Linked DNA regions of Cricetulus griseus. The protein of the gene in region 1 purifies or fractionates together with the protein of each later gene. This does not show direct contact. Links are inferred from orthologs where the notes say so. Each region holds a gene or a part of one and is shown on either strand. Other genes may lie near its edges.

Region 1 (3,807 bases):
TGCTCAGCAAAGGCAGATCCTATTGGAATGAAACAAGGTCCTGATGGGATGTGCTGGTAAAATGCTGAGTGGACAAAATACAGTAAAAAGCCAGAGTAGGGGCTGACATTTTAGAATCAGTGATCAGACAAGCCCCCATGAAGACCATCTGCTCTAGAGGACTAGTTGATGATAGACCAGTTAATTGGGAAGGGCTTAACGCTCCTGTAACCTGTGCCATAACTGGCCTTGGTCTTAGTCTTCACTCTACCTCTTTCTAAGATTTAGATTTCAACCAGCTGGATGGTCCTGCCCGTTTTATTGTGCCCTTTGTGACCTGTGGGGACCTCAGTGCCTACGATTCCGATCGCAGTTATCCTCTGGATGTGAGTGTCCAATCATTAGGACATGGGTCAGGGAGACTGTCTCAGATGCTCAGAGCCTCATCATCTCCCTGCTCCTTGTGTCCCACAGCTAGAAGATGGCTCCGAGTACAAATATACTCCACCCACACAGCCCCCCATCTCACCCCCATACCAGGAGGCCTGCAGGTTGAAGAAGAATGGGCAGCTGGCCAAGGAGCTCCTCCCCCAAGAATGCTCCATCGGCAGAGTAGACAAGTTGCCCCAGCCTTTGATTGTACCTCAGTGTCATACCGTGCTGGCTCCCAAGGTATGGATACTCACTTCTGAGCCCACCATGATGCCTTCCCCATATGCCTGTTTCTGTCCTGACTCACATGGTTCTCTCCTGCCATGCAACAACTATAAGAATCTGACAAGTGGAAAAATGTAATCAAGTAGCTGAGTCCCTTTTCTTTTTCTTTTTCTTTTTCAGCAGGTGGAAGACACTGAAATCAATTGCTCACCTTAACACATTAAGGTAAGTTTTTCTTTTTTTTACCCCCAAAGTTCAAATAAAGGGCATCTTTGGGAAAAAGCTGAATGGGACTACAAGCTGGCTTACTGGTTTAGAGCAGGTAGTGCTCTTGCAGAGGATCAGAGTTTGGTTCCCAACACCATATCTGGCAGCTCACCTCCATGAGATTGGACGAATGTGGCCTCCCTGGGCACCTGCATTCGAAAGCACATACCCAGGACAAGGACACACAATTAAAAATAATAAAAATAGTTGGGCAAGGTGGCACTCACCTTTAATCCCAGCACTTTGGGAGGTGGAGGGGAAGCAGGCAGGTCTCTACAAGTTTGAAGCTAGCCTGGTCTGAACAGTTCCAGGCCAGCCAAGGATGCATAATGAGGCCCTGTCTTTTAAAAAGAAAGAAAAAGAAAATTCCATCCTGAGCCTTTAATCCCAGCAGAGGCAGATGGATCTCTGAGTTTGAGGCCAACCTGATCTACAAATTAAGTTCCAAGACTGTTACACAGAGAAACCCTGTCTTGAAAAACCAAGAAAGAAAAGAAAAGAAAGATCCTTCATTGGTTTGGAGTATAGCTAAGTGTATAGAATACTTGCTTAGAATGTACAAAACCGTAGGTTCAATCTCTAGCACCATCTAAAAAAACAGGCAGTGGTGGTGCACACCTTTAGTCCCAGCACTCCGGAGGCAGAGGCAGGCAGATCTCTGAATTCCAGGCCAGCCTGGTCTACAGAGTGAGTTCCAGGACAGCCTCCAAAGCTACACAGAGAAACCCTGTCTCAAAACAAAACAAAAACAACAAAAAACAAGCATAGTAGTAGTGCCTATATTCCTAGCACTCAGATGCAAAACAAGGCTCAGATATGTAGCAGGTTTGAAAACAGCCTGAGCTACATAAAAACCTGTCTCAAAAGATGAAAGCCCTCAGTAAATTTTGGCTTAAAATTTTTTAGCATTTTATTTATTGTACATAATTGCAGGCAAAACACTCATACACATAAAATAAAAATACATCTTCAAAGGGCTGAAAGTTTCAATCTTCAATACTACCAAGGAAACAAACAAAAACATATTAGGAGCTGTGTTGAGTTGGTCGAATGCACAAAGTTCTGGATTCTATCCCCAGAACCACAGAACCTGGCTGTTGTGGCCCATACCTGTAATCCTGCGGTAGGAGGTTGTTTTAGTTACTTTTTTAAAGTTTTATTTATTTATTATGTATACAGTGTTCTGCCTGCATGTTGCCTGCAGGTCAGAAGAGGGCACCAGATCTCACTACACATGTTTGTGAGCTCTCATGTGGTTTCTGGGAATTGAACTTGGGACCTCTAGAAGAGTAGCCAGTGCTTTTTTTAAAATTTATTTATTAGTTCTAATTAGGGAACAAGCTTGTTTCACATGTAAGTCCCTTCTCCCTCTCCCTCCCCTCCCCTCAACCCCATCCCTCCTCCTCCACCCCCAGCCTACCCCCACTCCATCCACCCACCACTCCCCAGGCAGGGTAGGGCCCTCAACGGGGGCTCTGCAAAGTCCACCAAATCTTCCTGTGCTGGTCCTGGGCCCTTCCCCATGTGTCCAGGGCCAGAGTGTAACCCTTCACGTGGGATGGGCTCTCAAAGTCCCTTCTTACACCAGGGAAAAATACTAATCCACCACCAGAGGCTCCCTGGAGTGCAGAGGCCTCCTTATTGACATCCATGTTCTGGGGTCTGGATCAGTCTTATACTGGCCTCCCCGACAGCATCTGGGGTCAATGCGATCTCCCTTGTTCAGGCCAACTGTTCCTGTGGGTTTCTCCAACCTGGTACAGACCCCTTCACTCTTCATTCCTCCCTCTCTTCAACTAAATTCCAGATTTCAGCTCAGTGTATATCTGTGGATGTCTGTCTCTGCTTCCATCAGCCACTGGATGAGGGCTCTAGGATGGCATAAAGAGAAGTCATCAATCTCATTTTAGGGGAAGGACTTTTAGGTTATCCTCTCCACCATTGCCTGGATTGTCAGATCGTGTCATCCTTGTAGGTCTCTGGAGATCTCCCTGGTTCCAGATCTCTTCTCAGACCTATAGTGGCTCCCTCTAATATGGTATCTCTCATCCTGCTCTCTTTCCTCTATTCTTCCCCCAACTCAATATTTCTGCCCCTCCATTTCCTCACCTCTACCCCTCTTCTCTTGCTCTTATTGTGCTAGCTCCCTCTCCCCTACCCTCATGCTCCCAATTAGTTCAGGAGTTCATGCCACTTCCATTCCTGGGGACCATTTATCCCTTAGAGTCCTTCATGTTTCCTAGTTTCTTTGGTGAAGAGGATTATAGGCTGGTAATCCTTTGCTCTATGTCTAAAATTCATATATGAGTGAGTACATACCATGTTTGTCTTTTTGTGACTGGGTTACCTCACTCAGGATGGTTTCTTCTAGTTCCATCCATTTGCCTGCGAATTTCAAGATTCCATTGCTTTTTTTCTGCTGAGTAGTACTCCATTGTATAAATGTACCACATTTTCTCAATCCATTCTTCAGTTGAGGGGCATCTAGGTTGCTTCCAGGTTCTGGCTATTACAAACAATGCTGCTATGAACATGGTTGAACATATGTCCTTGTTGTATGAACATGCACTATTTGGGTATATACCCAAGAGAGGAATGGCTGGATCTTGAGGTAGACTGATTCCCATTTTTCTGAGCAACCGCCATACTGATTTCCAGAGTGGTCTTACAAGTTCGCACTCCCACCAGCAATGGAGGAGTGTTCCTTTTTCTCCACATCCTCTCCAGCATAGATTGTCATTGGTATTTTTGATTTTAGCCATTCTGACAGATGTGAGGTGGTATCTCAGGGTTGTTTTGAGTTGCATTTCTCTGATGGCCAATGTTTTGAGCACTTTCTTAAGTGTCTTTCAGCCATTTCAGATTCCTCTGTTGAGAATTCTCTATTTAGTTCTGCACCCCACT
Region 2 (4,515 bases), on another chromosome or scaffold:
AAGAGTGGCTCTGTGGGGGTAAAGGGCTAGAAATGTCTTGGCCCTCCTAACCTGACCCTGTGGCCCCTGAGTAACCCTGCCCACAAGTGGGAATATCCTCAGTTGGGGATCCGCTCAGCAGCCCCTCCCCTCCGCCTTACAGTTACATGACGGTGCTGTTTTATTTGAACAACGTCACCGGTGGGGGCGAGACTGTCTTCCCTGTAGCAGACAACAGGACCTATGATGAAATGGTAAGGGCCAATGGGCTATTACTTCTGTGGGTTGGCAGGGCCTTGGGCAAGTGCACACACACCCTTCCAGACCTGGGGTGAGGGCACATGTCTGTTTTCCCTCTAGCCAACTTTGGCTGCCTGACTGTACAGAGGCAGGCAGTCCACAAACATCAACTCCTTGTTGCCCACAGAGTCTAATTCAGGATGATGTTGATCTCCGAGACACTCGAAGGCACTGTGACAAGGGGAACCTTCGTGTCAAGCCCCAGCAAGGAACTGCAGTCTTTTGGTACAACTACCTGCCTGATGGGCAAGGTGAGGGCTTCTCTGAGGGAACTTATCTCTCCCTTCTGCCACCTGAGGGCTGTTTCTGTCTGCTCTCCAAATAGCCTTCTGCCATAACCAGTGATTTCATTAGGCCACAGCGCAGCCTCTTGGGGTATCTCCATCCATTGCCCTCACGCATCAGCCTTTCTGTACTCTGGGGCTAGGGAAATACTCTCAACAACCCAGGCCGGGAAGAGCTATGGAGTGGCTGGCTCAGCAACAAGGAAGCCGGGCAGAGGGCCAGTGTATTGGCCATGCCTTAGTGGGTGAGATGCCGAGTCCTTCCATGGGGATTAGGAGTTTCCACAGCTCAGGAGGGTCCAGCCTAGGGTTCCCTCCCACGTGTCCCTTTGTTCATGCCACCTTCGTCCCCTAGGTTGGGTGGGTGAAGTGGACGACTACTCCTTGCATGGCGGCTGCCTGGTCACCCGTGGCACCAAGTGGATCGCTAACAACTGGATCAATGTGGACCCCAGCCGGGCACGGCAAGCTTTGTTCCAGCAGGAGATGGCTCGTCTGGCGCGTGAAGGCGGCTCCGACCCGCAGCCCGAATGGGCCTTGGACAGGGCCTACAGTGATGCCCGCGTGGAGCTCTGACGCGAGGCCAAGATGCAAGTCACTGCCCATCGTCAAAGACCCTGCAGGTCCTCTGTTGTACTGCAGACTAAAGATCTGGCCGATCTTGCCCTGCCCCTTCCCGCCTGCAGCCGCGATGAGGGGCGCAGTTGTTCCTACGTTCACGTTATTTACTGGTGTACAGCGGCCTCCATGCTGCTCCATCAAATAAAACGACAGGGCTTCGAGCCGGGTGCAGGCCAGCTCCGCGCCGCCTGGGGGAGGGGAGGCCCGCCGCTCTCCCCGCCAGCTTCCCGGGGGGCGGGGGCGGGGCGGGGGGCGGGGCGGCTCCCTTGCTGGGCCAATCGCCAGCCGGATCGCGTGGGGCCGAGGGTCGTCATTGGACGTCCGCGGCCGGGCGCCGGGGCTCCGCTACCTGTAGCTAGGGGATCGGGAGCTCGGCGACGCGGCTCTCAGACGGCTGGTTCTCGCGAGAACGCCGCTCTCTTCTCGGCTGTGGCGGCTGCGGCAGCTTGACGAACGTCATGGACGCTGTCGGGGACTTCGTCTGGCCGCAGGCGACCTCGGAGCTCATACTCCTCCCGGTCACGGGTCTGGAGTGCGTTGGGGACCGGCTGCTGGCGGGTGAGGAGGCTTGGCCCGCTCTCGTCGTGCTGGCGGGCGAAGACGTAGCCGGTCCCCCGGGGCGGTGGCGTCGGGACAAAGGATGCCCCGGGACGGGGACGGGCAGCGGGCTGGGCCCTGGCCGTGGGATGAGGCCGGTTGGGAGGTGGCGGGAACGCGGGCCAGCCCGAGGGGGGCGGGGCTCGGGAGACAGGGCTGAGGCCGTCGTGGCAGCTCCTCCTCAGCTGCAGCCGGCGTGGGGAGGGCGTGGGGAGGGCGGGTGGGGTGCCGTCGCTCCCTACGGGGGGGGGGGGAGGGCATTGCACTCCTGAAGGAATCAGATGAGGTAGAGAACGACGGCCCCAGGGGGCGTGGCACGAGGTTGGCCTCTGGGGAGGGTGAGGCTCCGCCCCCAAAGATGAGGGGCCTGAAGGAGGGTATGGTCGCCAAAAATTGAGTCTGAGACTTCTCCGAGTAGAGCAGTATTGGGAGGGGCCGGGCTCAGGTCCCTCCTGCAACGGTTGGGGCTCTAGGCCAGCCGGGTCAGTAATCACATGACCCAGTGTCTGGTGGTAAAGAACCTAACTCGAAGCCACTAGCCTTGGTGATGGTGGCGGCGGGGGATTCATAAAGCTCCCTAGCACTGACTACTATGCCTCTGGTCAGCCATCGTCAGCCCAACAAGGTTGTGTCGAGGGTATAATGGAGAGTTGATAAGCGGAGGGTGGGGGGAGTGTGTGGGTGCAAATATTGGTTTGCTCCAGTGAGGTGGGGCCAGCAAACTCTTCTGGAAGTGAAATCTGTAGAAGCTGGAGAAAGAGAAGATATGGAGCATTAAGAGAGGAGTAATGTTGCGGCCTCTGGGTTTGGGCTGGGGTGGGCAGTGGCTGGGGATGTTTGCTGGGATGCGGATGAGATAGCGGGAAATGGCTGCAGCGTGGCCAAAAGGAAGCTGCCAGGCCAATTCTGGGAATGTCTGTTGATCTGGGTCTGTGGGCTCTAACACAAAAGGGGTGTAAGAGATTGCCCAGGAAGTGTGAGTTTGTATAGAGGGAGGCACTGGACAAGCCTCTGAGCGTAAGTTAGGAGTGTGGGTAACACAGTAGATGCTGTCTAGGTTTAACCCTCTCAGACCTTGGAGTTGCAGACAGCTGTGAGCTGCCATGTGGGTGCTGGGAATTGAACTCGAGGCCACCAGAAGAGCAGTGCTCTTAACTGCTGAGCCGTCTCTCTTGCTAACTGTACCTCATTCTACCTTCCAAGGGTTCTCTGCTGTCTGGTGCTGTTGAGGCCTTCTAAGCCTGAGTCTCACACAAGGGTTCACCGCTGTCTAGTGGTGAGGCCAGAGCTCCCCTGCCTGTGAGGTGTGGGCTGCTCCTGCCTCCACTCCTGCCAGTGCCTCTGAATATGCACAGGGTTATCGGTTGAGGAGGGAGGGTTGCTGGTTATAGGCTTAAGGTGTGGAAAGGTTGACACAGCCTTTTCCCTGAGGGAGGGAGAGTCATGTAGAGACAGATGAAGCTGAGAATTTGGGGAATAGAGCAGAGTTGGCTTTCCCATCTGAAATGTAACAATGATGGGAGAATTCCTAGTGAATATACGTAAAGGGTGATGGATAGCCAGGCACAATGGCACCGTGCTATAATCTCAGCAGCTGGGAGGCTGAGACAAGAGGATTTTGAATTCAAAGTCAACTTGGGCTGTGTGGGAGAACCTCACCACAAAAACAAGTACCTGAGAAACACATACATTTGAAGTAGAAGTCTCGCTGAAGCTGAGGTCAGGACGTCCTAGGTTTAGTAGGATTTTGTGTCCTTGATATATTAAGTTATATGTTAACAAGTGCTGTGCTCCCATCTTGTCATGGACCACAGCGTTAGGGGAGTGGCTCTGATGTGGCTTTCTACCTCTGTCTAGGTGAGGGGCCTGACTTACTGGTGTACAACTTGGACTTTGGTGGGCATCTCCAGATGGTGAAGCGAGTACAGAACCTGCTTGGCCACTTTCTTATCCATGGTTTCCGAGTGCGACCAGAGCCCAAAGGAGACCTTGACTCTGAGGCCATGATAGCTGTGTTTGGGAGTAAGGGACTCAGAATTGTCAAAATTAGCTGGGGTCAAAGCCATCTTCGAGAGCTCTGGCGCTCTGGCCTGTGGAACATGTCCGACTGGATCTGGGATGTACGTTGGCTTGAAGGCAACATAGCCTTGGCCTTGGGCCACAACTCAGTGGTGCTGTATGACCCTGTGATAGGGTGCATGCTACAGGACGTACCCTGCACAGACAGGTGCACCCTCTCCTCAGCCTGCCTGATTGGAGACACTTGGAAGGAACTGACCATAGTGGCAGGGGCCGTTTCCAACCAGCTCCTGGTCTGGTATCCAGCAACTGCTTTGACAGACAACAAACCTGTGGCACCTGACCGTCGGGTTAGTGGACACGTGGGTGTCATCTTCAGCATGTCATACCTGGAAAGCAAGGGCCTGCTGGCAACTGCTTCAGAAGACCGAAGTGTCCGTATCTGGAAGGTGGGCGACCTCCGGGTACCTGGGGGTCGGGTGCAGAACATTGGTCACTGCTTTGGACATAGTGCCCGTGTATGGCAGGTGAAGCTCTTAGAGAATTATCTCATTAGTGCAGGAGAGGACTGTGTCTGCTTGGTGTGGAGCCATGAAGGTGAGATCCTTCAAGCCTTTCGGGGCCACCAGGGCCGCGGTATCCGGGCCCTAGCTGCTCATGAGAGGCAAGCCTGGGTGATCACTGGGGGTGATGACTCAGGCATTCGGCTCTGGCA

The links.
Region 2: the proteins of Ftsj1 (region 1) and Wdr6 purify together in Homo sapiens (affinity purification with mass spectrometry; 3 studies listed by BioGRID and IntAct, with this or other methods). This does not show direct contact. The link is inferred for Cricetulus griseus from reciprocal best matches to the Homo sapiens genes FTSJ1 and WDR6.

What each region holds. Positions count from the first base shown.
Region 1 is NC_048604.1:114,721,536-114,725,342, reverse strand, and holds part of Ftsj1 (putative tRNA (cytidine(32)/guanosine(34)-2'-O)-methyltransferase), read left to right. Parts: intron 1-261; coding exon 262-365; intron 366-453; coding exon 454-651; intron 652-816; coding exon 817-852; 3' UTR 853-861; intron 862-3,807. UniProt on the Homo sapiens protein: Methylates the 2'-O-ribose of nucleotides at positions 32 and 34 of the tRNA anticodon loop of substrate tRNAs. Requisite for faithful cytoplasmic translation.
Region 2 is NC_048597.1:216,752,854-216,757,368, reverse strand, and holds the start of Wdr6 (WD repeat-containing protein 6), read left to right. Parts: upstream 1-1,532; 5' UTR 1,533-1,642; coding exon 1,643-1,742; intron 1,743-3,638; coding exon 3,639-4,515. Other genes in the region: P4htm (transmembrane prolyl 4-hydroxylase), read left to right, coding at 143-233, 407-530, 919-1,139. UniProt on the Homo sapiens protein: Together with methyltransferase FTSJ1, methylates the 2'-O-ribose of nucleotides at position 34 of the tRNA anticodon loop of substrate tRNAs. Required for the correct positioning of the substrate tRNA for methylation.